4 linked regions of the Diceros bicornis minor genome follow. The protein of the gene in region 1 purifies or fractionates together with the protein of each later gene. This does not show direct contact. Links are inferred from orthologs where the notes say so. Each region holds a gene or a part of one and is shown in the gene's direction. Other genes may lie near its edges.

Region 1 (7,390 bases):
TATAGATGCAGGATAAGCATTTGATAAAAATCAACACCCATTTATCACAAACATTCTTAGTAAACAAGAATTAGAAAGGAGCTTCCTTAACCTGATGATGAATACGTACCAAAAAATTGTATATAACTTAAGGGCAAGAACTGTAAAAATATACTCTTTTCAGTAATCACATTGTTGGTTGTAGGGTTGGTATTGTTATTCTGAGAGTGTTTTGTGTATAGTGTGAGATAGATCAAATGAGTAATTGGTTGGTGTCATTGAGAACTGAGTCTTTTTTACTATCGTAAAATATACCATTTTAACCATTTTTGAGTGTGCAGTTCAGTGGCATTAAGTACATTCACATTGCTGGACAACCATCACCACTATCCATCTGCAGAATCTTTTCATCATCTCCAATAATCACTAACTCCCCTTCCCATCTCTGTCCCCATTAACCACTAACTCCCCATTTCCCCCTCTCCCCAGCCACTGGTGACCATTATTCCACTTTCTGTCTCTATGAATTTGACTACTTTAAGTACCTCATATAAGTAGAATCATACAATATTTGTCCTTTTTTGTCTGCCTTATGTCACTTGGTGTAATGTCTTCAAGGTTCATCCATGTTGTAGCATGTACCAGAATTTCATTCCTTTTTAAGGCTGAATGGTGCCATTGTATGGATATACTACACTTTGTTCATCCATTCATCCGTCCGTGGACATTTGAGTTTTTTCTGCCTTTTGGCTATTACGCCGCTGTGAACATTGGTGCACAAATATCTGAGTTCTTGCTTTCAACTGTTTTGTATATACATATACCCAGAAGTGGAATTGCTGGATCATATGGTAATTCTGTTTAATTTTTTGAGGAACTGCCATACTGTTTTCCAAAGCAGCTGCACCATTTTACATTCTTGTCAGTGAGGCACAAGGAATCCAATTTCTCTACATCCTTGCCAACACTTATTTTGTTTTTCTGATAATAGCCATCCTAATGCATGTGAAGTGATATCTCATTGTGGTTTTATTTGGGTTTCCTTGGTAGCTGTTATGTTGAGCATTTTTTCATGTGCTTATTGGTTTATTTTATATCTTCTTTGAAGAAATATCTAAGTCCATTGCCTTTTTTTTTTTTTTTTGGTGGAGAAGATTGTCCCTGAGCTAACATCTGTGCCAATCTTCCTCTATTTTGTATGTGGGACACCACCATGGCATGGCTTGACTAGCGGTGTGTAGGTCTATGCCTGGGATCTGAACCCGAGAACCCCAGGCTGCGGAAGCGGAGCGCTTGAACTTAACCACTACGCCACGGGCTGGCCCCTTCATTGCCCATTTTTGAATTGGGTTGTTCAGTTTTTTTATTGTTGAGTTGTAGGAGTTATTTATATATTCTGGATATTAATTCTTATCAGATACGTGATTTGCGAACATTTCTTCACATTCTATTGATTTTTTTACTGTGTTGATAGTGTCCTTTGATGCAAAAAAGTTTTTAATTTTGATAAAGTCCAATTTATCTATTTTTCTTTTGTTGCCTGTGCTTTTGTGTCATATCCAAGAAATCATGGCCAAATTCAATGTCGTGAAGCTTTCCCCCTATGTTTCTTCTAAGAGTTTTATAGTTTTAACTCTTTAATTTAGGTCTTCAATCCATTTTGAGTTAATTTGTCTATGGTGTAGATGGTGTTAGGTAAGGGTCCAACTTCGTTCTTTTGCATTTGGATATCCAGTTTTCCCAGCACCATTTGTTGAAAAGACTGTCCTTTCCCCATTGAATGGTCTTGGCGCTCTTTTCAAAAATCGTTCAATAAAATTTAAAAAAAAAAAAAAAAGGGCCGGCCCGGTGGCTTAGTGGTTAAGTGCGCGCGCTCTGCTGCTGGCGGCCTGAGTTCGGATCCCGGGCGCGCACGGACGCACCGCTTCTCCGGCCATGCTGAGGCTGCGTCCCACGTACAGCAACTAGAAAGATGTGCAGCTATGACATACAACTATCTACTGGGGCTTTGGGGGAAAAAAATAAATAAAATTAAAAAAAAAATCATTCAACTATTATATGTGAGAGTTTATTTCTCTGGGCTCTCTATTCTATTTTTTTTTTCTCCCCAAAGCCCCAGTGCATGGTTGTGTATCCTAGTTGTAAGTCGTTCTAATTCTTCTGTGTGAGCCACCCCGACAGCATGGCAACTGAAGATGGGTGGTGTGGTTCTTTGACCAGAAACAAACCGGGGCCACGGAAGCAGTGAGAGTGCTGAACTTTAACCACTAGGCCATCAGGGCTGGCTCTCTATTCCGTTTCATTGGTCTATATGTCTGTCTCTATGCCAGTGCCACACTGTTTTGATTACTATAGCTTTGTAGTAGGTTTTGAAATCAGGAAGTGTTGGTCTTCCAATTTTGTTCTTCTTTTTCAAGATTGTTTTGGCTAATCAAAGTTCCTTGAGATTCCATATGAATTTAAGGATGGATTTTTCTATTTCTGTAAAAAGAGAATCGAGATTATTATTGACATGGGAGAAATATGTAAGGTAATTGAGTTAAAACTCTGTAATCCTAAATTTGAAAAGGAGATGTCAGTATGAACTTCTAACGCATGTCATATAAAAATATATATATATTGGCTAACTGTTCACTGAAAAGGACTACAGTGACTGACCCAGCTACAGTAAGTGTCCCTGGCACTCAGACTGTGGTCATTTCCCACGAAGAGAAGAACCAGGACTCCTCAGAAAGCTGTCTGATTCCAGACCTTGGACACTACTGGAATTGTGTCAAAAGGACTAAAGAATCAACTTGAAAAGGTTCCCAATGGCCACAGACGGAACAATCTGAACTTCAATAAGAATAATAATTGCAATAGATTAAAGCACATCAAATATGTATAAACCCATGAATTCATTGATAATCTTTTTAAATGTTTATTGATCGATTTTGGAGGATGATAGAGAACCAAGGCATTATTTTGAAAACTGATAGGGCCGGCCCTGTGGCTTAGTGGTTAAGTGCGTGCGCTCTGCTGCTGGTGGCCCGGGTTCGGATCCAGGGCGCACACCGACGCACTGCTTCTCTGGCCATGCTGGGGCCATGTCCCACATACAGCAACTGGAAGGATGTGCAGCTATGACATACAGCTATCTACTGGGGCTTTGGGGGGATAAATAAATAAATAAATAAATAAAAAGAAAACTGATAAAGGGAAATTCTATACCCTAATAAATCACTTTTAGGTATATACCCAGGAAAACGTATACAACAGGAGACATTCACAGGAATGTTCTTAACCACACTATTTATTATAGCAAAAAACTGGAAACTCAAATGGTCATCCTCAGGATGAATAAATAAATAAATGGTGTGTGGTATATTTACACAGCAGAATAGTATACAGCAGTAAAAAGTAGGTATGGATGGAACCATGAAATGGATAAACCTTGGTAACATGTTGAGTGAAGAAAGCAAATAAAGGACAAAAAAATATGATACTCTCTTCATAGAAGTTCAAAACTAAGCAAAACTAAACAATATATTGGTTAGGCATGTATATGTGAGTGAATTTATTTTTCTTAAAAATTTTTTCTTTCAAAAAAGTCAAGGGAATAATAAATACAGAATTCTGGATGGTGGTGCCCCCGACACGGGGGATAAGGAAGGGAAGAACAGGTTAGGAGCACAAGGGTGGATCTAAGTCCTGGCCGGGTTCCATCGAGCCCCTGGAGTTTTGCAGTGGGTACACTGGAACTCGATGTATTAATTTAAAAGTTATAAACACATACGAATTTTTAAAAAGAGGATCATGCGAGGATCAATGACGATTGTGTGTCACTAACCAAAGATTATAATTAATCTATTCTGTCGACCTGAAGTTGGCCTCCTCAAGAAAGTTAGCAGACTTTTCTAACGGGGCCAGCCACGTGAGAAACTCAAGTGAGTGGGAGGGGTAATAACTATTTTCACTTTTCTCTTCCTGTTTTTTCAGAGCCTGGGAAAGCAAGTCAGAATTTCCAATCTTTTCCAATTCCCACATGATTCCCTAATTTAGAATGAATTTAGAGAATATAAAAAAGTCTTTCTTCATCTGGGGAAGGCTCCACCGCCTGCCATGGAGCATCCTCATTCTCGGATGAGGAAACAGCCTGGGGTGGGGGGCGCTCTAGCCCCCTCCCTCACCCCGCACGAATGCGCCTTGGGGTTGGCCTTGGGGACAATACTCCCGCCGAGGGCTTGCATGACGGTTAACTGCTGGAAATGCTTTGGCCAACGGTTAAACTCTAGCTGGAGGCCCTGGGGAGGCGGGCGGGGGGCGTGACCCAGCGGGTTCAATTGGCCCCTGGGAGCCCCGGACCTTCTAAGACACAGGCGTCAGGCTGCGGAGACGAGGTTCCGGAGATTGACCCCAGGGCGCCTCCTGCCCAACCTCTGCCCCAGATGGCTGGCAGGGTGGATGCATTTTAAACCGACGAGCCCTCGGCCCGCTCGCCGGCGGGAGCGGACGCGGCGCGGAGCCTCGGTCGCCCCTTGCGTGCAGTGGGCTCCGGGAAGCCCGCGATCCAAGCACCGCCAGGTGGAGAGGTCCGGGCGCTTCCCTTTCCCCGTGCTGCATCTCGATCGGGGTGGCCAGGAAACTAAAAAGTGCTTCTGCGGCGACAGCCACCAAGAGCACATTTAGCGATTAGGAAACCGTGTGGAGGTCAGCCACCCGGCCTTTGCGGGCGAAGCAGGCCCCGGGCCTTTCCCTGCGCAGGGCGGGCGGCCGCAGCCCAGCAGCCCTGGCTCTGCTCCAGACCCGGCCCTGGGTGACATCACCAAACTCCTCCGATCCGCGGGAGGGGGCCCCGAAATCCCCTAAAAACATTGTGAGTAATCGCCGGGCCCGCCCTCCAGGAGGCCCAGCCCCAGGAGCGAGCCAAGCCGCCCCGCCAACCCCGGGAGCAGCCTCCGGGCGGGTAGCCTCTTCGTCTCCCGCGGGGCGCACGCTTGTTCCCGGCCCCCGGCAGCACGGCGCGCGCGGCCTCTTCGTCCTCTGCGCAGCAGGCACTTGGCCCCAGGCCCCGCGGGGCGGCAGCAGTGGCAGCGGCGGCGGCGCAGCGCGCAGGCGCATTCGGATTCCCGGCAGTGACGCGGCGGCGGGCGCGCGCGGCGCATTTCCGCCTCTGGCGAATGGCTCGGCTGTAGTGGGCGCCGCGGGCCCAGCTGCGACCCCGGCCCCGCCCCCGGGACCCCGGCCATGGAAGGTGAGGGCGCCCTCCAACCCCGCGGGTGGCCGCGCCGGGGCCGCCGGGACCGCGGCGGGAGCCCCGCGCCGCCTTCCGCCCCTTCCTGCGCCGATGGGCGCTGCGCAGGGAGCGGCCGGCCGGATGGTGGCGCGGGGCGGGGCAGGCGTTAGGGGTCTGACTCAGTTTCCCCTCTGGGTGGAGGGGGTCCTGACTCAGTATCCTCCTGGGGTGGGGGTGTGGGGTGAGCTTTGACTCAGTTTCCCCCCGAGGCCCATGGAGGCAGTTCTGACTTAGTTTTCTTGTTAGGGGAGCCTGTATCTGACTCAGTTTCCTCTCTGGATGGGGGGTGGGGAGTGTCCTCCCTTAGTTTTCCTTATGAAAGTAGAGAAGGACCTGACTCAGTTTCCCCCAGTAAAGGGAGGACGCGAAACCCAGTTTTCCCTCGGGAAACAGGTGTTTCTGGCTCCTTTACCCCGACCCCTTAGTTTTACTGCGGCTTCCAGGTAGCGGGCCCTGACTCAGTGTCCCTCGGAGGGAGCCTCGCTCCATCTCCTCTCCGTGGGGAAGCAGGCCCTCCCTCGTGAGGATGGGAAGTGGGCTTGTGCTGACACTTGTCTCCCTCCCCTTGCAGACCTGTTCCCCCTCATCTTCTCCTCGGGTAAGTGGACCATCCTTTCTCAGTGGTTCGGGATGAGCTCCCCCCGGGGGTTAGGGGCCATGGGGTCAGCCACCTGATGGAGGCGGGCCGGTGTCTCCCCAGCAGAGCCAGCCCAGGCTTCTGGCCCCTATGTGGAGATCATCGAACAGCCCAAGCAGCGGGGCATGCGCTTCCGCTACAAGTGTGAAGGCCGCTCAGCAGGCAGCATCCCAGGCGAGCGGAGCACGGATACCACCAAGACCCACCCCACCATCAAGGTCAGCACTGGCTCCCAGGGTTGCGGGGGAGGCACAGAGTCATCCGGGCAGGGCTCTGGAACCCCAGCGGCCTTGCTTCCAGACCCCTGTGCAACCTGTGTCTGGGAGTTGGGTCTGCAATTCCTGAGCCTCTAGGATGCTCTCTGTACTTTGCACAGATCAATGGCTACACAGGACCAGGAACAGTTCGCATCTCCCTGGTCACCAAGGACCCCCCTCACCGGCCTCACCCCCACGAGCTCGTGGGGAAAGACTGCCGGGATGGCTTCTATGAGGCTGAGCTCTGCCCGGACCGCTGCATCCACAGGTGAGCTCCCCTCGGACAGCAGAGGAGGGAGCGGGAGGTGGGAGGACCAGAGAGGGGGCAGTGTGTAGCTGTCACAGTGTTACTCCTTTCTGGACAGAGGGCTGAATTCCTCCCCAGCTCTGCAAGCAGATTCCCTTTGTCTTGAAGTTATCTGTTTGTGTGTCTACTCTCAAGCAGATGTGAGCTCCATGGGATAGGGATGGGTCCTTAATCACCTCTGAACCCCTAACCCCTGTGACTGGAGGGGCAAGTCCCTCAGTGTCACATCTCTTGCAGTAAGGAAGAAAACCACTGGACCAGCAGTCTCCCCTGGAGCTTACATACCAGTTGACAGAGGCAGGCCGTAAATAAATATACAAATAAATAAACAAGATACTGTTAGTAATAATTTCAGTGCTGAAAATAAAACAGTAATAGGCTGGAGGAATAGCCCGGAGTGGGGGAGGCGGGGGAGCTGGTCTCATTCCTTTGGATCAGGAGGTCAGGAAGGCCTCTCTCGGGTTAGATTTGAACGGTGAGAAAGCAGAGAAGCACAGAAAGAACATTCCAAGCAGAATGAACAAGTGCAGAGGCCTTGAAATGGGAATGAATTTAGTGTGTTTGGAGAACGGAAAAGAAGCCCCTGTGGCTGAGGGCAGGGAGCCAACGGGGACTAGGGCTAGGGCCAGGTGGCCGGGCACGGGCGTGTCAGCCAGAAGAAGGAGTGGGTGTCATTGCAGCACAGTGGGAAGCCATTCGAGGGGGTTAAGCACGGAGTGATCATCTGGTGAGTGGGTGGGAGAGGAATGGGCAGACTGGGCGAGGCGGGAGGGCCCAGGCTCTGCTGGAGACAGTGGGACTGATGCCTGGGGGGCCTCAGCTTCCAGAACCTGGGGATCCAGTGTGTAAAGAAGCGGGACCTGGAGCAGGCCATCAGTCAGCGCATCCAGACCAACAACAACCCCTTCCAAGGTGAGGGGTGAGGGGGAGAAGGC
Region 2 (7,960 bases), on another chromosome or scaffold:
TATCCTTAGCTCTGTTTTCAGATGAGACAACCAAGGCTCTGAGAGGTTCGGTGACTTGCTCAAAAACCACACAGCCCCTAAGTGAAACTGGCAAGACTTGCATGCAGTTCTGAACGACTCCAGGGGCCATGCTCTCAACTACCACACTGTATTGACTTGATCCTCACAGACACTTTTCACTTCCGTGGTCTGCAGCTAGACATGAGTCAAACCAGGAAACTGTCTGCCCTTGAATTAGTTAGGAGAAAGGGTGGGGCTGCTCTAACAGCACCTCCAAGCAAAGGGCTTTGCCAACTTCAGGTCCCTGGAGTCCTCAAAGAAGAAAATATGTCCAAATTGAGAAATGAAGGACCAGAGAGGCAAAGTGACTTGCCCAAGGTCACACAGTATTTGTTTCAGAGGCAGTTTTAGGACTAGGATTTTAGGATCTTCTAAGGACTCCCTTTCAGACCACACCAAACCCAAAGGCTTTCTAGAGAAGTTGGCTGTGGCCTAGGGCCACACGAAGGACACGGCCTGCCTGGGCTTCCACCTTCACTGCAGCTTTCAGGTGTGAGCCTCAACTCTAGTGCATCCTCTTCCCATCTATACCAACCCTCGTTGAAAACGAGGCCTGAATTCCTATTACTACTCATTGACTGCTGGGCCAAGTTGAGTGTTTTTCATTTCTAATTTAGCCTAACCCAACAGGAGGAAGATTTGGCAGAGATATCTGTGCCACCCTAAGCCAGTGTCCTGACGCCAGGACTGGGAGTTTGGGAAGGCTTGTTTCTATCACTTACTGGCTCCCAGGATGACTTTGGACAAGTCTGAGCCCAGTTTCCTGATCTGAAAGATGAAAATGAACAATCCTTGCTCAGCCCATTTCACAGAAGTGTTATCATATAATATTTAGGGGAAGGGAGCAGAGGACAGAGAATTCATCCATCAATGCCAAAGCTCTCAGTGTGGCCCAACCACCCTGGGAGCTGACCCAGTCAGCCTTACCTTCAGGGCAAACCAGCCGGAAATGGGGAAGGTGATCAGTAGCAGCAAGAACCCCAGGAAACTGATGAGGCCGTGGCAGAGGCAGGAGGGCCAGCTCTGAGGCACATCTGGGGACAAGAGAACAGAGGCAGTCAAGGAACACCAACTGGGTCTGGCAGCACAGCTGCAGGCAGAGTGAACTTGGTCAAGTGTACCTTTTGCCTCCCTCCCCTTTCAGTGGCTCCTTTCTTCTCAAGGCTCTCAATCTGCCTCCTTGCCTCATACTCCCATATCTTTGGGCAAGTGCTAGTTAAGGACTCTTCCCTCCTCCAACACATCAAAACTAATCTGTCCCAAGTCCCACCCTCACAAGGCCTGTTCTCTGTTAGGCAACAGCCATCAGATCTGAGAAGCCAATCCATGTGATGCTCTCTCACTGGGCTGAGCAGGAGTCAATCCTCTTGTATGATTTACATCGCCTTCGCATATGTGGCACAGAGCCAGGAGCACCTGGGCGTCTGTAAACACTTGCTGGGTTGAACTGAAAGCTGCTGGCGTAACCCATTCCTCCTCTACCATCAGCTCCAGAAGGGTGCTTTCAAGGAGTCCTTTTGCAGATAATGCCTTAGCCTAAAGGAATAAAGCATTAATGGCTCATCAATAGGAGCCATAAATGAGGGCTAAGATGTTCTTTCCTAGCTCACAATTCTTCACCCCACTTCAGTGCCCTAAGGACCATCAAATGCAAGCTTCACTTGAAGCAGCTTCAGGTAGGAGGTAGGGGAGGGGGAACCAGGAAGATGAGGCTCATCTGAGCCAGAGGTCTTGGCCCCTGAGAACCAAGAGCCCAGGATGGGAGTGGAGCTGAGACAGCCCCAGAATCTGGGATGAGGTTATTCTCTGCTATCCTTCCCCTCCCAACCTTGGACAGGAAGCAGACAGGAGCCTCTGCTCCATCCTCCCAGAAACCCCAAATCCTCTAAGTCTCCTTTCCTGCCTGGCTCTGACCCATGTGGCCACTGCAGGAAAGGAACTCTTGGATAGGGGCAGCTATCAGTACAAGAGGGTCACGGAGAGACCAAATCCTCCAGAGTTTGGTTGTCAGGCTGAGGAATGTGGGATCTGGCCTGTGGGCCAAGGGAACAACTCAAGGCTTTGGAGCAAGAAGGGCCAGAGCAGACACAACAGGCAGCTGAGGGCCTGCCTTTTTGCCCTGCGCATCTCCACCAGGAAACAGGGAGATACTGGAGCTCAGGGCGTCTACAGGTGCCCCCAGGGGCGAAGATTCTGCCATTTCTCTGCAGCCAAGTGCCCTTAGTGTGCTGGTGACCTCCTATGCCTAGACCTTGGTTTCTTTCTAGGCAAAATGGCAACTTGAAACCTCTGCCCAGGCGTAAAGGGCTGATAAGGGCCGAGGAGAAATGTGATGGGGCGAGGCTTCTTGGAAGATGAGAAAGCTCTGCGGCTGCAGCCGGAAGCCCTAAGAAGGGCGGATCAGCGCCAGCATCCCAGCGCCCAGTCCAGGCTCCTCATCACATCGTGCCCCCTCTCGGCCCCTCCTCTTAGAGTGCAAGGGCGCCAGACCAGCTGACTCTCGAGAGGCAAAGAGTTCGGGCCTGGGGATGCCAGCCGGTACCCCCCAGGTCCGCCGTGCTGGGCGGCCACTCACCGGCCCCCGGCTCCGGGGACAAGCAGCCCTTCTGCGAGCCCAGGAAGCCGAAGCTCGACTGCTGAAAACGGTCAAAGTCCCCCAACGGCAGCGCCCGGTACCCAGACCTGCCAAGCATGGCTCTTGACAGGGGGCACGCCCCCGCCCTCGCACGGCGCCCGGCTGGACCAGCCGGCCCTACGCTACCCGACTCCTGCCGGCCTCCGCTTCCGGTTTTCCCTGCGCCGCCAGCGGCGGGGCCCAGGCGCAGGAGGAGCAGGCAGGCCGGGCCCGGCTCCCGCCGTCGCACAGCGCCCCCTGCGCTGGGAGGACCGAACTGTGGCCGCGGGGCGCGGAGGAAGGATGGTCTGCGTTCCTGGGAGGCTGAAGGAGTTCTCGCCTCTTCCTCCATGCTCCCCCTCGGCCTTAGAAGAAGAGCAGGAGGGGAAGTTGGATCTTGTAACGGGTTTTTCAGGAACTGAATCTTCTCCAGAGTCAAGCAAATGCTACCAGCTTCTCAGCACTGCCTCTCAATCAAACACTGGGGTCGGGGTGTTTGTGCAGGGTGCCCTTGTTTAGAATTATGGTTTCTCCAGGCCATGGTCAGCAAATTATTACTCTTCGTGTCCCCACAGCCCAGCAAACAAGGCCTGGCACAAAGTGGATCTCAGTACTTATTTGTCGACCAGGTCACTGTGGTTAAGGGGGGTGGGAGGGCCTAACTTTGGCACAAAAAGAAAGAAATTTCTGTGCAGACCTCAGGGAGCATGTCAGAGTAAGGAATGAGAGGGTGGCACAGAGGTATCCCAGGGCAGGTGGGGTCCAGAAAGAGCACGCCCCTTGATCCAGGTACCCAGATCCAGGTAACTTGCCTCTCTGTGGCTTGAGAAAACCCGAATACAAACAGTGAATTTACTCTGAGAAGCACTAACTTCCAACAGGGTGTTAGGGTAGGCTATCTTCCAAAGTGAGCCAAGAAATTAATAAAGTTTTCCTTGTCTCAGCCACATGCCCGTCCTGCCTCCTCAGCCCCTCAGGCCCCCAGCCGTAGGCCACTTCTAGGTCCTTCTGCAGATGACTGCTCACCATCTTTGGCTTTTCCTACTTTGATGGCCTGATTCTAAAGCTTTACGGGTACTGATCAGGCTGGAGGGTAGGGCAGGTTCATGAGTCCTCACACAGTCCCTGGGAAGTTGGATTTCCCCCCATGCCCCCTCCACACACACCCCAGACTATAAGCTTTACAAGAGCAAGGCCCTGTCACCATCCCTTCTAGTCTGTTCCAAGCTAGAACTGAGCGCAGAATGGGTACACAAGGGTCAGCACAGTGGTTGGGATGCTTTGAAGTTTGAAGCCAGGGGCATTGGCCCAATGAGGCCACCTGGAATTGCTCTTTCTCCCCTCACCAGCTGGCGGGCCTGGCATGCCTCTCCACTGGCCAAGAGCTAACTTGCTTTCTCCTCACCCTCTTCATACTCACTCACTAGTTCTCCCTCTTCCCTCCCCATGCCTCACTGCCTCAGATTCATCAGCCTTTCCAGCTCTCGCCCAAGTCATCATCCTGTTCCTCGTATCTCCACTCAGCGCTGCCTCCCAGTGTCTCTAACTCAGGCCTCTCCTCTGCATCCCACAGCCACTCTCCTAAGCCAGGCCACCTGTCTCACATTGTCAGAGTGACTGTCCCAACATGCACAATGGATCATGTTGTTCCTCGGTTCCAAACCGACTATCACCCACAGAACTGGTCCATCTCCTTAGCTATGATCTTGCCCCAGCCCACTCCTGGGCCGACATTGCTCGTAAGTCTCCTCTTAAATCTGAAAATAACCAAAACTAGTTTCTAAACAGGCTCTCCTGTTTCAAGCCTCCATGCCTTTGCACTTGCTGTTCTCTCTAAGTGTTCCCCCTATCCCTGAATCCCCTGTGAATTCCCACCATTCCTTCAAGTCCCAGCTAAAGTATCTCCATTCCAGCCAGTCCCAATAACTGTGTGAAAATCTCAGTTTGGGGGCCTGCTACTTCCACAAGATCAGGGCTTCTAAAGCAAGGGCCACATGTGACTCGTCTCCATGCCCCCAGCTCCCATCTGGGGGCTGGCACAAAGCTTTGCCAGTGTGAGCTGAAGGTACGGCTCACAGCCAAGGGTGGGGGCTGCCTCCCTCCTGGTCAGCCCCGCCACTATCCTTTGACCGCCAGGCCTGCTGTGCGTCTACTCCGCTCCTCCTTTTTCCTCCTCCCCGCTCTGAGCGTGTCTTCAGAATCCACAGCCTGCCTCTTTGCGCCTAGAACCGCCCCCAGCTTCTGTCTCACTTCCTCTCGGGGGGCGGGCCCTGAGCGGGCACCTCCTCTTTCCGAACCCTCGAGAGACAGCCTTCTGGCGCACACGTCTCGTTCAGCTTCTCTTCCCGCCCTCCAAGATCAAAATCGAGAATCGAAACTGAGCTGGAGTCCATGCAGCAGGAGCCTGCACCCGCCAGATCTCCGGGGTCCCAGCAGGATCCCGCGCTGCCCCACACGCCCACCATGCCTCCCCCGGAGTCCCTCTCGGAAGACCACCAGCCCAGCCCCAGCCACTGCCCCACAGAGGTACTACTGGGTTTTGGGAGGTGGGGTTTAGGCTTTGTTGATTTGCTATGTTGGGGGGAGAGGTGGGAAGGGAGAGGGGAACTTGGCCAAGTACCTTAAAGAGTGACACAGAGGAAAGACCAGACTCTAGGGGTCCTGACCCTCTTGGCTGGCGTACGGGTAGCGGGGAGTAGAAGAGAGGATCGGGATGAGTTAGGGGAGCCTTTCTGGGCTGCGATTCTCCAGGAGCAGGGGGGCAAGATGCTGAGGGTCAGTGGCCCTCAGAACTGGACTCCCCCACGCACCCTGATGACTTGCCTGGTAGCGCTCGCCTCAGATGAAGGACCACAGGTGAGGGAGAATGGAGCTAGGAGCCGGCTTGCCCCCGCCTGAAGCCAGTGGCATGTCCCAGGTGTGGACAAAGTTAAATCCAAGTTCCCAGATCAGAAAGTGAAACTGTGGCCCAGAGGAGAGAGGTGTATCAGCTAAGCCCTCGCAGCTCCTGTGGTTTCTCCTCTGGGAAGTCTTCCGGATTCTTCTCTTGGAAAACCCTGCCCATCCAACCCCCATCCCCAAGGGAGTTTATTAGGGCCTCCTCCTGGAAGCTTTGCCTTAGTCTTCTGGACAGAACCCCCCAGCCTCCCGCTCCCAAAGGAACTCGCAGATCACTTGTTCTATGCTCTGCCAGGCCCTTTTGCTCCCCTTCATGAAAGCACAGTAAGTGCAGTAATTTGTATTATTTGCATAATTACAACTAGGAATAATATTACTTATCAATACTAGTTAGCGTTTATGAGCACCTCTCATGTGCCGGTCCTGTGTTAAGCACTTTTTTTTTTTTTACATTTTTTTACTGTGGTAAAATATCCATAACATAAAATTTACCATTTTAACCATTTCTCTGTGTACAATTCAGTGGCATTAAGTATATTCACAATGTTCTGAAACCATCACCGCCGTCTATTTCCAGAATTTTTTCATCACCCCAGAAACTCTGTACCGTTTATGGAATACCTTCTTATATTCTTCCCTCCCTCCAGCCCCTGGTAACCCCTAATCTACTTTCTGTTTCTGTGAATTTGCCTAGTCTAGGTATTTCATATCAGTGGGATCATGCAAGATGTGTCATTTTGTGTCTGCCTTATTGACTTAACCATACTGTCTAAGACTTGGCATGATGTCTTCAAGGTTCATCCATGGTGTAGCAGAATTTCCTTCCTCTTTAAGACTAGATAATATTCTGTTGTATGTGTAGACCACATTTTGTTTATCCATTCATTTGTTGATGAACACTTGGGTTGTTGCCACCTCTGTCTGTTATGAATAATGCTTCTATGAATATGGGTGTACAAGCACCTGTTTGGGTTCGTGTTTTTAGTTCTTTTGGGTATGTATCTAGGAGTGGAATTGCTGGGTCATGTGGTAGTCCTGTTTAACTTTTTAAGGTACCACCGAACTGTATTAAGCACTTTATATGAGTGCTTATGAGTATAAAGTTGATACTTAATGTATATCCTTTCTAAACTGAGTTCCTTGAGGGCAGGGATGTATCCCATATGTCCTTGTATCTCAGGGCTTGGTACTATGATGGGAAATAGATGCTCAATAAATTGTGGAGTGAGTAAATGGGGGATTGGGTTACTGAGAAGCCTGGGTTTTGCATCATCCAGTAACTGCCTGGAATGGAATATGAAGTCCCATTCCAGCCTCCAGCCTCCAGCCATAGCGGCGGGTGTCTCCTGGCTGGGACTCCTGGGACTTAAGTCCTCCCCTCCCTCTCTGCTCCCCCAGCAAGCCACGGAGGAGGAGTTCCAGTTCCTGCGCTGCCAGGGCTGCAAGGCCGAAGCCAAGTGCCCTAAGCTGCTGCCTTGTCTGCACACGCTGTGCTCAGGATGCCTGGAGGCGCCGGGCATGCAGTGCCCCATCTGCCAGGCGACCCAGCCCCCAGGCGCTGACGCGCGAGCCCTGGATAACGTCTTCTTCGAGAGTCTGCAGCGGCGCCTGTCGGTGTACCGGCAGATCGTGGACGCGCAGGCCGTTTGCACCCGCTGCAAAGAGCCGGCCGACTTCTGGTGCTTCGAGTGTGAGCAGCTCCTCTGCGCCAAGTGCTTCGAGGCGCACCAGTGGTTCCTCAAGCACGAGGCCCGACGCCTGGCAGAGCTCCGCAGCCAGTCGGTGCGCGAGTTCCTGGACGGCACGCGCAAGTCCAACAACATCTTCTGCTCCAACCCCAACCACCGCACCCCTACGCTGACTAGGTGAGAGGGCAGGCCCCGGGGTCGGGTGGCGCATCCTTGCAAGAGCCAGGTAGAGGGTGAGGGGAGCAGAGATCCGAAGAGTCACACAGCTGGGAGCGTGGGACAAGGAGCTTCAGGGTCTTGCAACTCAAAAGTGTGCTCCTCAGACCAGCAGCATCTGTGGTGATGACCACAATTTAAGCCATCCCACGCGAGTGGATAGTAAAAGTTTCCAATTTCCCTCTGTAATAAAGAATGCTGCAAAATCATCTTTGCATCCTTATCTAGTAATTTCTTTAGGATAAACTTTTAGAAATGCCGTTGCTGGGTGAAGGGGTATGGAAATTTTACATTTTGATACATGTTACCAAACTGCCCTTTAGAAAGTCTTAGGGTGGAATTTTTCATAAGTGCTGCCTTGGGGTCTCCGTGTAGCTGGATTCTAGGATGAGATGCAGGCAGTTACTTGCTGTCTGAAAAGTCAAAACCATTATCACTGTGCTATCTGGGATTGTTGGTATGAAAAAAAAATCAACTCTGGTTA
Region 3 (7,211 bases), on another chromosome or scaffold:
TGAGCCTGAATAAGTGCAGGGCAGACCAATAAGAGCCTTGACTGCCATGTTGAACGGTACCACTTAGTACATGTGAGGCTTACTATGTTACAGCCAGGCATAATTCGTGTTCTTATGAGTGATTTTGAAGTGAAACAACTCTCAAATGATCCACTTTGCTTTTTAAACACAGTCATTAGGAGTTATTTAAATGACTTCACGAGTATAGACGGACACTGGCATGTGAGGGGTTTGAAAAGCCTTGAAATAAGTTTATTCATTTTTGTTTTTTTGTGTTTAGTCTAAAGAAAATTCATTCAGGTTTTCACAGAGTAATTGGAAAAGATGGATCATGTCCATTTGCTTTCAGGGACTGTCAATAAGCGAGCACATGTTGAGGACATCCCTACTGGCCAGGGTCTGAAGTCTGTCTTGTTCTGGAGAAGCAAAGAGAGAGTATTGTGAAAAGGGTGATGGCTCTTTTTTTTTTTTTTAACAAGACAGAATTTTTTTTTATTATATTTATTTTTTAAAATTATTTTATTTTTTGGTGAGGAAGACTGGCCCTGAAACTAACATCTGTGCCAGTCTTCCTTCTATTTTGTATGTGGGACGCTGCCACAGCATGGCTTGAGTGGTGTGTAGGTCCGCGCCCAGGATCCAAACCCACGAACCCGAGCCGCAGGAGCAGAGTGTACGAGCTTAACCACTACACCACCAGAACAGCCCCTATTTTAGTTTATTTTAAATTTCAGGGGCCGGCCCGGTGGTGCAAGCAGTTAAGTGCGCGCGCTCCGCTGCGGCGGCCCGGGGTTCGCTGGTTCGGATCCCGGGCGCGCACCGATGCACTGCTTGGCAAGCCATGCTGTGGCGGCGTCCCATATAAAGTGGAGGAAGATGGGCACAGATGTTAGCTCAGGGCCGTCTTCCTCAGCAAAAAAAGAGGAGGATTGGCGGATGTTAGCACAGGGCTGATCTCCTCACAAAAAAAAAAAAAAAATTTCAGGTGTATGTCATTATATTTTGATTTCTGTGTAGATTACATCATGTTCACCACCCAAAAACTAATTATAATCCATCACCATACACATGGGCCTAATTACCCCTTTTGCCTGCCTTCCTCCCCTCTTCCCCTCTAGGATGATGGCTCTTGAATTTCTCAGTCTAAATCTAAGCCTTGTTCTCAGTGCCTGGGATAAAATCAAATCCTAGTTCCCATTTCAGGCATGGACTAGCTTAGAACCATGGAAAATACACAAGCTTTGGAAACTAAACAGAAGTCATAATTTAACTGAAGGATCTGAGCCTCAGTTTTCTCATCTGTAAAAGAGGATTACAGTTTCTTAGATTGGGTGAAAGGATTAAGTTAGAAAATATATGTGAAACGTTCAGAGGACTGCTCCACAATCTTAGTCGTCCTGCGTCCCACCACCTCCCCCTCAAGTTTAGATGTGGTCTTTTGCTGAATACACTAACCAGCTGTTAGAATCTCTAGAGCTTGGTTTACAAAGATGAGTAATGCAGTTCATTCCCTCCAGGAAGTTCCTTCCCTTCTGAAAATTTCATCTCTCTAGTCTCTTCCTTTAGTGTTTCTTAAACTCCAATTTAGGCAGTCACTTGAAAGAGCTACTTAAAAAATGCACATTCTCAAGTCCCACCCCAGAAAATCTGATTTATTAGGTCCAAGAGGGGGGTCTAGGAATCCATCTTTTTTTTTTTTTTGGTAAAGATTTTATTTATTTATTTTTCCCCCCAAAGCCCCAGTAGATAGTTGTATGTCATAGCTGCACATCCTTCCAGTTGCTGTATGTGGGACACGGCCCCAGCATGGCCGGAGAAGCGGTGCGCGCCCGGGATCTGAACCCCGGGCTGCCAGCAGCGGAGCGCGTGCACTTAACCACTAAGCCACGGGGCTGGCCCTAGGAATCCACCTTTTTAAAAAGGCAGCCCACGGGGCGGCCGGGTGGCATAAGCGGTTAAGTGCACGCGCTTCGCTGTGGTGGCCCGGGGTTTGCCGGTTTGGATCCTGGGCGCGCACCAACGCACTGCTTGGCAAGCCATGCTGTGGCGGCGTCCCATGTAGAGTAGAGGAAGATGGGCACGGATGTTAGCCCAGGGCCAGTCTTCCTCAGCAAAAATAGAGGAGAATTGGCAGATGTTAGCACAGGGCTGATCTCCTCATAAAAAAAGAAGAAAAAAAAGCAGCCCAGAGGATTCAGATAGAGACTCCCTGACATTATATTTTGAGAAACTTTGATCTAGGGAGAGCTGCTTTCAATTAGAATGTAATGTGATGTTTTATAATAAAACTATACAAGAGGATGATGCCATCTGAGCTGTCCTGAAAGTATTTTTTTTTTCAGGAGCTAGAAGGTAACAATAAAAAAGCATTTTTTATAAACAATTAAAAAAAAACTTTTTTAATTAAGTCCATTTTTATAAATGGTTATACAGGGCATTGCTATATTCACTTAAGAATTTATAGAAGACTTTTTGTGGGACTATTCTGGGTTGGAATTTGGCACTACAACTCATTAGCTTTGTGACCTTGGGCAAGTTACTTCCCAGCCTAAATTTCTTCACTTATAAAATACATAATAGCTCTAGTATTTACTAATATCTTCCTTATGAGGGTGACATAAGGAATGCAAAACGCCTAACTGACTTAGGCACCTAACACAGTAGGCATTCAACAGTCATTTCACCTTATTCAGGCCCTGTCCAAAGCAGCAGAGGCCTCAGTTTTAGGGGAATCCAGACTTAAAAACCTCACAACATATCACGAAGTGCTGAAATTGTAGAAAATGAAGTGACAACATCTAAGATACAAGTACTACAGAGAATGACCTCCTTATGTCATTGCCAAGCCACCCAGGCTGCCTCCACCAAAACTAGGATAAAGGAGAGGCAGAATGGGAGGCCAGAAATTCAGGTGCTTCGGGGAAAAACTCCTTCAACCTTTGTAGCTGCAAAAAGCAGGAATCCTCTCTATCTTGTTTTATGCTTAGAAAAGTGTTTACAATTAAGGGGGAAAAAGTAAGTGGCTTATGGGACCTTGACTCTGGGTGATTCTCCAATGCACTTTAGCCTCAGGAGACAAGCTCTTGAAAAGTCCACCCGCCCTAAGTGAAGTGGTCAGCACCTCTGGGGGAATTCAATAAAATGGCGCTTGCCGGAGTCTCCCAAAGACCTTGCAAATTTGTCAGCTCGGTGTTCACTGGCTGTGTGCGCGCCGTCGCCAGATCTCGTGGCGTCTGCACCCACAGGGCTTACACCCACACTCAGAGGATCTGCCTGCCTGTCCGCCCACCCCGGGGAGGGGTGAGGCCCGAGAGGACTTTTAAGGGCGGTTAAATGAAGACTCAAACGAGCATGGGTGACAAGGCATAAGCGCACGCCGAGTGTCGTGGCCCATACAGTTGTGGAGCTGCAAGGCTCCGCTGACGCGCACCACCTAATCCCTGTAAAGACGTCCCTTGAGAAGGTCCAATATGGCGACGGACTCCTCCTGGCACAGCCCTGTTCCCTCCCCCACGACCGGCGGCTCTAGTAACGCCCATTGGCCAAGTTGGAGGCGGTGCCTGGCTTCTTTCGCCGCCTCATTGGACTGAGTGACTGAGGGAGACGCCAATTCTCCTCTGCCCACTCCACGTTCCCGCCCTCAGAGTTCATTCCGCGTTTAATTGGCCTTTGCTTTACGTCAATTTGCGTCCTATCTTGTCTCTTTTCAGTGTTAATCCAATCATAACTTCCCTGGCTGCCCGCCTGATTTCTGATTGGTTTCGATCAGCTTCCTATCCCGTTGCTGCCTACTTCTTACCTCTCGTCCCACCAGAACTTTGCCCAGGCATGTCCAGGGTTCTGGTTGGTCGTTATTCTGTCATTCCAATCAAAGCTCTTCCTATCCCTACGTCTGAGGCAGCCCGCCTGCCTGTTGACTGGTTTCTTTCCAAGCCTATCATCTGTAGCTTCCGCCCATCCCCACTTCCTTCGTCTTTCATTGGCTTTTAACACTGAGAGGGCGGCCTTTTTGGGCGGACACCAGACACGCAACTTTGTCTTACACGCCTCAGAGAGCAAGCGAGTCTTGCCATTGGGTAATCTGCCCGCCTTTCTTCTGCAAGTCCCTCCTTTCTCCCTCCCTCATTGGGCGGGGCAGCAGTAGTGGGGCGGGGCATAGGCCGGGCTTGTGGCGCGCTGCTCCCTCCTCCTTACCCCCCCCCTCCCTGTCCGGTCCGGGTTCGCTTGCCTCGTCAGCGTCCGCGTTTTTCCCGGCCCCCCCCAACCCCCCCGGACAGGACCCCCTTGAGCTCGTCCCTCAGCTGCCACCATGAGCGGTAAGGATGAGTCCACTCCAAGCTTAGGGGTGGGAGGGGAGTGAGGGGGCGCGCGCGAGGGCCGACCGGGCGGTCCCCGCCGTGAGGGGGGGCGGGCGGGAGGCGGCGGCGGCGGCCTTGGTCCCGCCCGGGGCGGAGGGAAGGGAGGGAGAAGGGCAGTGGCGGGGCCTCCGAGGAGGAGGGGGATGGGCCGCCCGCCCCGGGGGAGGGGGCAGCGTGGCCTCGCCCGCCCCCTGCCCGCCCCGGCCACGGGGGACGGGCCTTACCCCCCACTACTCGGCCGCCCGCCTGAGGCTCCTCCCGCCGGGGGCTGGAGCCGCGGGGGCGGCCCGAGCAGTGCAGGCCCCGCCCGGGCCAACCGCCTCCCTGGTTCGCCCTCTCGTCGCTGCCTGCCCCAAGGCCCTCCCCCCCCCGGTAGGTTTCCCCTCCCCCCCCGTCCCGCCCTTTCCACGCCCCTCACCCCGAAACCGCCCTTTCCCTCTAGGGTCCGCCTTCCTCCATCCGCCCCGAAACCTCCTGATTTCTAACCCCTGGACTCCTTTAGCCCCTCACCAGTGTTCACAAATGCTCCCCCACTCACACTTAGCTCTTCTTTCCCCTTTTCCCCTTCTCTCCTCTTGTTCCTTTTTACACTTGAATTTTCCTCTTTCTCCATCTTTGACCCTAATTTTAGCAAGCTTTCCATCCACCCACATGTTTTTTGCTTTACCTATCCTTCTCCTTTTTTTCCCCAGAATACTTTTTCTTATTTTGGAACTCTTTCAACATGCCCACCGCCCCTCACCTTTCTTATACGGGAAGTACTTTTTCAGTGTTTTCTGAGTTTAGTTTTGTGCAAGGGAGAATTGAGGCCCAGTTTTGGCAGTACCGGGCCTAGTTCAGGTCTTACACGTCTTATAACTGTCCTTTCTCCCCCAATCCATTTTTTTTTTTTTCTTTTTCACACTGGCGCCTTTCACCTTCCTGTTAGTCATTTCTGTTTCATCATAGTCTCCTTTACCCTTCCTCGCTTTACCCTTTTCCTTCCCCCGACTTTAAGTTGTTTGTCTTTTAATTCCTCGTAGATCAAGATCACTCCATGGATGAAATGACAGCCGTGGTGAAGATTGAAAAAGGCGTTGGTGGCAATAATGGGGGCAATGGTAATGGTGGTGGTGCCTTTTCTCAGGCTCGAAGCAGCAGCACAGGCAGTAGCAGCAGCAGTGGAGGAGGAGGAGGGCAGGTAAGTGATGATCAGGATACAGTTGGGGAAGGTGTTGAGAGGATGTAGGTATTCTTAGATGGTTGTCTTCCTTTTCACAGAAAAATTTTTAGGAAGAGGCTGAACCATTTTATAGATAGGGAAGTAAGCCCAGAAAGGCAAGTGACTTGGAGATCCCCAAAGATGAGAATTTTAGCGATATAGATAGGTCAGGTTTTGGTTGTGTTTTTTTGCTCTTTGTTTGCACTGTGTTGCTGCTTATTTGTTGTATACTGCCCTCTGGGCTGGCAGCTGGGTGTCACTAAACTAACTACTTTCTTCTGTATTTTCTGGCCAGGAATCTCAGCCATCCCCTTTGGCTCTGCTGGCAGCAACTTGCAGCAGAATTGAGTCACCCAATGAAAACAGTAACAACTCCCAGGGCCCAAACCAGTCAGGGGGCACAGGTGAGCTTGACCTCACAGCCACACAACTTTCACAGGGTGCCAATGGCTGGCAGATCATCTCTTCCTCCTCTGGGGCTACCCCTACCTCAAAGGAACAGGGTGGCAGCAGTACCAATGGCAGCAATGGCAGCGAGTCTTCCAAGAATCGCACCGTCTCTGGTGGGCAGTATGTTGTGGCTGCCACTTCCAACTTACAGAACCAGCAAGTCCTGACAGGACTACCTGGAGTGATGCCTAATATTCAGTATCAAGTAATCCCACAGTTCCAGACCGTAGATGGGCAACAGCTGCAGTTTGCTGCCACTGGGGCCCAAGTGCAGCAGGATGGTTCTGGTCAAATACAGATCATACCAGGTGCAAACCAACAGATCATCACAAATCGAGGAAGTGGAGGCAACATCATTGCTGCTATGCCAAATCTACTCCAGCAGGCTGTTCCCCTCCAAGGCCTGGCTAATAATGTACTCTCAGGACAGACTCAGTATGTGACCAATGTACCAGTGGCCCTGAATGGGAATATCACTTTGCTACCTGTCAATAGCGTTTCTGCAGCTACTTTGACTCCTAGCTCTCAGGCAGTCACGATCAGCAGCTCTGGGTCCCAGGAGAGCGGCTCACAGCCTGTCACCTCAGGGACTGCCATCAGTTCTGCCAGTTTGGTATCATCACAAGCCAGTTCCAGCTCCTTTTTCACCAATGCCAATAGCTATTCAACAACTACTACCACCAGCAACATGGGAATTATGAACTTTACCACCAGCGGATCAGCAGGGACCAACTCTCAAGGTCAGACACCCCAGAGAGTCAGTGGGCTACAGGGGTCTGATGCTCTGAGCATCCAGCAGAACCAGACATCTGGAGGCTCACTGCAAGCAAGTCAGCAAAAAGAGGGAGAGCAAAACCAGCAGACGCAGCAACAACAACAAATTCTTATCCAGCCTCAGCTAGTTCAAGGGGGACAGGCCCTCCAGGCCCTCCAAGCAGCACCATTGTCAGGGCAGACCTTTACAACTCAAGCTATCTCCCAGGAAACCCTCCAGAACCTCCAGCTTCAGGCTGTTCCAAACTCTGGTCCCATCATCATCCGGACACCAACAGTGGGGCCCAATGGACAGGTTAGTTGGCAGACTCTTCAGCTGCAGAACCTCCAAGTCCAGAACCCACAGGCCCAGACAATCACCTTGGCCCCAATGCAGGGTGTTTCCTTGGGGCAGACCAGCAGCAGCAATACCACGCTTACACCCATTG
Region 4 (6,915 bases), on another chromosome or scaffold:
AACTGGCAAAACTTATGGAATCTTTCCATCTGCCATGGCCCAAGTCTCTCCCACTAGTACTGTTAAATTTCAGATCCACTTTTTTGGGAAACATAAACTTTCACCTTTTGGAATTATTACTGGGAGGCCAATGAGACTGAACTACGGGGCCCATAAACCTAATCTACTCAGAGGTGACATAATGACCTATTGTAAAGGCTTAATCCAAGCCCTCCAAACAAACGAGAGACTGGTGGAACAATCTTTTTACCCCATGCTTCTGGGAGATGAAGACATCTAACACCACAGCCTACCAGTGGAGATATGGTTTACTGGAAAAGACACCTCCAAAAGGACTCCCTCCAGCCTTGTTGGAAGGGACCATATCAAATATTGCTGATTAATCCTTGCGCTGCAAAGTTAAAAGGTATTGACTCATGGATTCATGTTTCTCATTTTAAAAAGGCTCCCAGATCTACGACCCCTGACCAGACTTCTCAACCTGTTGGTGATCTTAAAGTTATCAAAAATTGCCCCAAAACAACAACCACTTGGACAAGAAGCAGACGACATCTGATGAAGACTGTAAATCCCAAGACACAGGACCATGCTTGTATTTCTAATCTTATATCTTCCCCATCTAAACCCTTAGTGATGATTGCTCAGTGACTTGAGATGATCGACCAATCTTGGAACTTGGAACAAACAAAGGACTTGATTCCTTTTCCAGACAGACTATGCCTAAGACTCATCTCCTGACTGCCTCCTTATTGCTCAGATGTGGTCAATCTGCATTACTCTTGCTCACTGCGCTACTCTTGCTGATGGTCGAGCATCTCACTTTCCCTCCTACGTGGGACATGACTTCCCAGAAATGAGCCTTCTTGGCAACAAAAAAAATATCAATACCTATATATATCAAACGGTTGATCCATGATGGTTTCTGCGGAAAGATCTTGATTAAAAGGGGGGAAGGTGGGCAGCAATATCGAAATAGAGTAACATATGTCAGGGCTTCTAAAATGGAGCTGGGAAACCCTTAAGGAAGTGAAGCTTATCCACATCTCTGCCCAGATGGAATGTGACTTTTTGAATTGTGCCTCACTGTTGTTATCTTGACCTTCCTTCAAGAAAACAAAAAAGCTTACTCCCGTAGAAAAAGGCTTACTCCCATAGATAAGAATTTTTTGCCTTGGAGATGGCCTTAGCAACCTATCATGTGAAGCCAAGGAATAACAGTTGTTGCCAACACCAATCACGGGTCTTATAAAACCACCTGTGTGACTTATCTCTTTTTGTTTTCATAAACTCTTGCTTTCCTTGTCTTCTCCAGAGCACATTTTGGGTTTCTGCCTAAATCTGTGTCTCCTGAATTGCAATTCTAATTGCCCAAATAAATATCTGTTGTTTAAATTGCAGTGATTTTTCCTCAAGATAGGAGATAAAACTAAATCTCCTTGGGAAAAGTGAATGTCTACAAGAATATCTCACAGAATAAGGCAGAACCAGGTCACTAAGGAATTGACTAAGTGTGGACCCAAAGTGGACTTTTCCAAGCCTTCAGCACCTGAGGGCAGGGATGGCCAACTCAATAGCCTTTTGCTGTTCTGTATTCAGTTCTCCACCAGGCAGTAATGTATAGGTCAATAAACAGTTATTAAGGATCTTTGTTTTTGATCCTCATTGAAAAATTACTAATGCATGCTCATTGGAAAAAAAAAAATCAAACCAAACAATACGGAATTGTATATAATAACAAGTAATAGTCCCTTCAAGTCTTACTCTGGTTTCAGAGAAACCACTGTTAACAATTAGGTATGTATTCTTCCAGACTTTGATCTATATGTTTATGTCTATGTTTCTATCTATCTATCTAGAAACTTTTTTGTACAGATATGGGATCACCCTATACATATTCTCCTGCAGCCCCTCTTTTTTCTTTAATAAGAAATCAATATCTTTCTACATATTTTATATATTTTATTCTTTTTAATGGCTGCATAGTATTATATGGTATGAATGTGCCAAATTTTTTAGCCACATCACTAATGATGGACATACAAGTTATTTCAAACTTTTGCTATTACAAAACTGCTGCAATACAGCGGGAGTTTTGCAGCACGATAGATTTCTAACAATTAAGATAGCCGGGTGAAAGTGTGTACATTTTAAATTTTGACAAATACTGCCAAACTGCTTAACAGCCTGTGGAAAAGACCTTGTCTCTTGACTTTGTCTGGAAGTACTAATGTTCCCATTACAGGAAAGTGGCCAACCTTTCTGAGGAACAAGATGTTTCCATTCTCCACCATAAAATGGATCTTATATTTTCATTAATTAATATGTGTGGCTTCAACTGGTAATAACATTGTTCTGCTTTATGGCTTCTCAGATAGGTAGCAAACCCAGAAAACATCAGCTACCCTGGGGTTTTATTGTACGTTATTGACATTCCTTTGGTGATTCACAAATGCCAGAAAACAAATGCCATACTTCCCAGGGTCTAAAAGAAGACACTGTAGGTTTTGGATTCAGTAACTGATCTTTCAAGAAAATATAGGATGGAGTGATGACTCACTCACCCCATGGGGCTGTCCTCCACCTCTGTCCTTCAGAGGAAGCGTTACTGTGGTCTGCTAGTACTTTTCCCTCCCTCTTCAAGAATTTCCCTAGGAGAGGATGCCTAGCATGCGCAAAGCTTAGCCTTGCCCTTCTCTTCTCCAGAATGCCATGGCCTGCAGCGCATGGCTAGTTCTTGGCACAGAGTAAGACAACGCTTACGGTAGATGCTTAGCAGTCACAGCCAGTAGCTGAGCAGTGGCAGCAGCTGCGATTCACAATGCAGCCTGAAAGTTGTGTCTTAGCCTGTGAGGTTACAAGTGCATCCTCTGTTTACAGTAAAAAAATTAAAGCCTGCTTCCCCCTCTCTCCTACCGGAGCCCTCAACAAGACTGACACCCGATTTGGGTGGAGTGAGACCCAGCTGAGGCGAAGCTTGGTAGAAGAAGGAGGAGGAGCAGAGGTACAGTGTCCCTTGGCAGCTCCGCACATGCTGCGGCAGTGGCAACAGGAGCACCGAGTACCAGTTGCTCAACACTTTATCAGTTTGCACTGCTCTTTCTCCTCTCTTCAGTGAATTTCCATTTGAAGGGCGCAGCTCCACAGAAGAAAGGTGTGGTGGGGGGCTTTGGAAGGCCCAGTGTGGGACACCAAAGGGAGTGCCTACAAGGATGGAAATAAGAATTGGCCCTGGGCTTGCTCCCCTCTTTCCCCTTCCCTTGCTTGCTGGGGCGAGACAAATGATTTGGTGAGGGAGACAGAGAGGGGTGTGTTTGTGGTGGTGGCGGCTTCTTGGGGATCCTCGTCCCCTCGGAGCAGCCAGACTGCTGAGGAGAGGGGCGGCGGTTCGGGGGCCGGTGGCGTTAGGCCGGCGGGTCCCGGACCCTGGGTACCCGGGGGTCCCCACTGGGCCCCGGGCCCCCGGCGGTTGCCATGGTGACGCAGGGTCGGCGGCTCGGCGCAGTGGAAACAAAGCCGCCCGCCTGCCCGCCCGCTCGCTCGCTCGGCGCCCGAGCTCCTCCTCCGCGGGCGCCTCCCTCCCCTCCCAGCGCCGCCGCCACCGCCGCCGCCCGAGCCGCTCCGACCCCGCGCCCGCCGCCGCCGCCGCCGCCGCCGCGGGCCAGGTAAGGCGAGCGCGCCCGCGGCCGGGAGGGGCGGGCGGGGCGCCCGGGGTGGGGGGCCGCCGCCGCGGGGAGCGGGCGCCGGGGCCGGCTGCAGCCGAGTCTCCCAGGGGCGCGTCCCGACGCCGCCGCGGCCTCTCCCGCGCCCGGGAGCCGCCCGCCCGGCCGCCCCGCAGCCTCGGACGGCGCCCGGCGGTCAGCGCCCCGAGGCCGGGGGCGGCGGCGGCGGCGGCGGCGGCGGGCGGCAAACTTCGCGGGCAGCGGCGGCGGCCGAGGCGGCTGAGCCTCCTCGGGCCACGACGGCCCGGGCCGCCGTCCCGGCACCGCTCGACGGGCGGTGCGGCGCAGGCTTCCCCGGAGCAGCGGCCGTGCGCTTGGGGGATGCGATTTTGCAGAGAGGCGGTGGGTGGTGCCTGCCTACATTATCTGTCCTTCTCTCTTTCTTTCTTTTTTGGTGTGTTATCGAGGCTTTTAGAAAAAAAAAAAAGATGGGGAAATATTTACCTTTGGACTTTCATGTTTCATAGTTTATTCTCTTTGAGGACCGGATGGGAGGATTGTAAGGGGAACAACCGAGACATTTTGATAATCTCTGAAAAGTGAGCCCAGTCTTATATGCCAGTGACGGAAGCCTTTTGAGGTGCTTCTGAAGTTTGTTTGGATTTTGAACATAACGACCTTTATCTTGGGAAGGTGTGCTTGCATCTGTAACTAAAAGGGAACGGTTGCCCTGGTTTCCCATGTAGCAATACCAGAGTTTAATCGCAGGACCAATACTTTGTAGATGAGAAGATACTTGGCAGTGAACGATGCCACTGCTGTTGTTTCTGGAAGGTATTGTGTTCATCCTTTAAGGAACTGGAAAATGCCTTGCGTTTTTGTGTCAGGAAGCAATCGGAAGCACCTCTGAAGGCAGGTAGCTGGGCGCTTTTTGCATCCGTGTTTATGAGTGTGATGAGAGGGTTACGATGCCGTTGCCAAGGGCACACGGGTACTAGATGGGGAATTGCTCAAGTTATGGGTGCCTCCCCCCTTTCTAAACAGCCCCAAGCCTTGCCATCATTTCATGATATTTAGTTTGTTGCAGACACAAAAAATGAATTAAAAGTATGATTGTGAAGACTGTTTTTTGGCTATTTAGATATCATCTCATGTGTAATAATGTGAAAGACGGAAAACAGTATTTTCAGGAATATAGCCGATCAATTCGGAAGGAAATATGTTTGTTAATATTATCTATTTTAATTGGGGAGAGATATCACATTGATAACTGGAAAATGATTCAGTTGATTCAATTGTATACCTAACTTGGTAAAATAATTTATAAGTTGGAAGAGGTCTATTGGAGAACATTATATGGAATGCAAGAAATTATACTTTTGCTAAAAGGGAGCTAATGAAAAGAAACCAATGACACTGATCGTTTTGAATTGCAGTTAAGTTGATTAGAATTATGGATATTAAAGCTACTTGAGGTGTTAGACATAAAGTGATTATGTAATAGTCCTCTTCCCTCTTTTGGGATTTCAAAATCCCTGTCAGCCTGCTGATTACTAGGTTTCTAAGTCTGTTCATATTTGCTGGCAATTTTAAGTAATGTCACTTCATTAGAAGATTATATTGGAAACTAAAGGATTAAGTTGCAGCAACAGTCTGCAGATTATTTCACAATAGGGTTTGTTTTTAAACCGAATTTTACCTGTAGAGTGATTTACAGATGCTCTGCTAAATACTCTTTGATGATGGTAATGAAATGGTACATTGATTAAAATGAAGTATGTAGATCTGTTTTGAGAAGATAACCAGGAGAGAAAATAAGTATTTCTCATTTAAGCATGAAAGGCAATCAGAATATTAAAGCCTAGGCATATTATGTAGGCATAGGGTAGTTTCACATTTTGTACTAAAAATAATTATTTTTGTGTTTTTTCTGAGGTACCAAGAGTACGGCTTTATTCAGGTCTTTGTTAGCAAATCCAACATTCAAGGGCAAGGATCTGGACCTGCTTTTCAGCCGGACGGGACTCTCACTATGGGTTCTAGCCTAAACATTTACACTGTGGCCCTTAGTTTCTATTCTGAAGAACGGAGATAACCAATGTTAATTCAGTACAATAAGGACTCATGTTTTGCCTTTGCTGCTGGCTCACAGAGGGCACAAGATTCAATATAGTTTGGCATCTTTAAAGCTGTATTGCTTTCTGCCAAGAAAAGAGTCAGTAAACATCAGAAACAAACAGTCATGTATTGCAAGCTCTGCTTTGTTGGAGTGGTTTATTTACACAAGCTCTGAAGCATGAAATGAAGCTTTTGTCGGTGCAGTGAAAAACAGTAATTTGGCATGTTCGTGTAAGTTACTAGCGTTCTGAAGTATGTGCATAACCAGATAGTGAAAGAAAAAAATACTGTGATCTCCACAGTATCTCCTCAGGAAATGCAAATGGAAAGTGTGCTTTATGTCCACAATTTAGATTAGCCACCTGGTGGAAGTAGGGAACAGCACAGCGCATCCTCAGGTGTAAAATACTACTCGTCTCTCTCACTAGTTCACAGGAGTATGAATCTTCTACGTTTCTAGGCTTCAGAGTCTTTAATTTTATGAAGAAAAACTGGTCCTAATTTTTCGTGTAAGTTGTAAAATATGGTCTGATAATTGTAACCACAGCAATTGTTCTACCTAAAGAATTCTGTAACTTAACTTATCAAGCATGTTCAAAGATATAAAAGGAGCCAAGAAATGTTCTTAAGATTGACATCGTACTTGTGCTATTGAAAATCAGTTGTTTGTAACCCTATGAGCCTGCACAGGGCATGGGCGGCGTAAGGCCACTGAAGCCTTTATTGGCTGTTTCTGGGTCAACGTTCTTTTGCAATTTCTAGTTGCACTGTGATAGCATGAGGACTGGTAGGTAATTTAGTGTCTAGTACAATGTGTTGTAGCATTTATAAAAGCACATTTGTGAAGGTTGATGGTTTTTTAATGATTTCTTCCTTACCGAAACAGTTAGGTTAGGATTTGTGGCTGTGGAGAATCATGTAGCCCTGAGACCTTGAGGAAAAATGCTATAAATATAAGGTATTGTTAACTAACCTGCTGTGCGTGGTAGGTATTGATTATTACTGCTGTGCTGAGAAAATGCATCGGAGACACATGGCGGTGGTGACAGGAAGTGGTATTTTGTGACATGGATTATTAATAGTGATTGATGGAGGTTGAAAAACTTTTGTGGGCATGTGTTTAATTTTTTGTGCTCTC

The links.
Region 2: the proteins of RELA (region 1) and PML purify together in Homo sapiens (affinity purification with western blotting; 3 studies listed by BioGRID, with this or other methods). This does not show direct contact. The link is inferred for Diceros bicornis minor from reciprocal best matches to the Homo sapiens genes RELA and PML.
Region 3: the proteins of RELA (region 1) and SP1 purify together in Homo sapiens (affinity purification with western blotting; 7 studies listed by BioGRID and IntAct, with this or other methods). This does not show direct contact. The link is inferred for Diceros bicornis minor from reciprocal best matches to the Homo sapiens genes RELA and SP1.
Region 4: the proteins of RELA (region 1) and RNF182 purify together in Homo sapiens (affinity purification with western blotting; 3 studies listed by BioGRID). This does not show direct contact. The link is inferred for Diceros bicornis minor from reciprocal best matches to the Homo sapiens genes RELA and RNF182.

Annotation. Positions count from the first base shown.
Region 1 is NC_080770.1:7,547,294-7,554,683, forward strand, and holds the start of RELA (transcription factor p65), read left to right. Parts: upstream 1-4,370; 5' UTR 4,371-5,205; coding exon 5,206-5,212; intron 5,213-5,825; coding exon 5,826-5,852; intron 5,853-5,954; coding exon 5,955-6,109; intron 6,110-6,267; coding exon 6,268-6,416; intron 6,417-7,275; coding exon 7,276-7,367; intron 7,368-7,390. UniProt on the Homo sapiens protein: NF-kappa-B is a pleiotropic transcription factor present in almost all cell types and is the endpoint of a series of signal transduction events that are initiated by a vast array of stimuli related to many biological processes such as inflammation, immunity, differentiation, cell growth, tumorigenesis and apoptosis.
Region 2 is NC_080744.1:67,085,919-67,093,878, forward strand, and holds the start of PML (protein PML), read left to right. Parts: upstream 1-4,957; 5' UTR 4,958-5,065; coding exon 5,066-5,200; intron 5,201-6,970; coding exon 6,971-7,437; intron 7,438-7,960. Other genes in the region: STOML1 (stomatin-like protein 1), read right to left, coding at 988-1,094, 2,636-2,753.
Region 3 is NC_080756.1:16,909,868-16,917,078, reverse strand, and holds the start of SP1 (transcription factor Sp1), read left to right. Parts: upstream 1-4,202; 5' UTR 4,203-4,309; coding exon 4,310-4,316; intron 4,317-4,869; exon of another isoform or gene 4,870-5,198; intron 5,199-5,380; coding exon 5,381-5,538; intron 5,539-5,854; coding exon 5,855-7,211. UniProt on the Homo sapiens protein: Transcription factor that can activate or repress transcription in response to physiological and pathological stimuli.
Region 4 is NC_080753.1:52,952,579-52,959,493, reverse strand, and holds the start of RNF182 (E3 ubiquitin-protein ligase RNF182), read left to right. Parts: upstream 1-3,901; 5' UTR 3,902-4,061; intron 4,062-6,915. UniProt on the Homo sapiens protein: E3 ubiquitin-protein ligase that mediates the ubiquitination of ATP6V0C and targets it to degradation via the ubiquitin-proteasome pathway.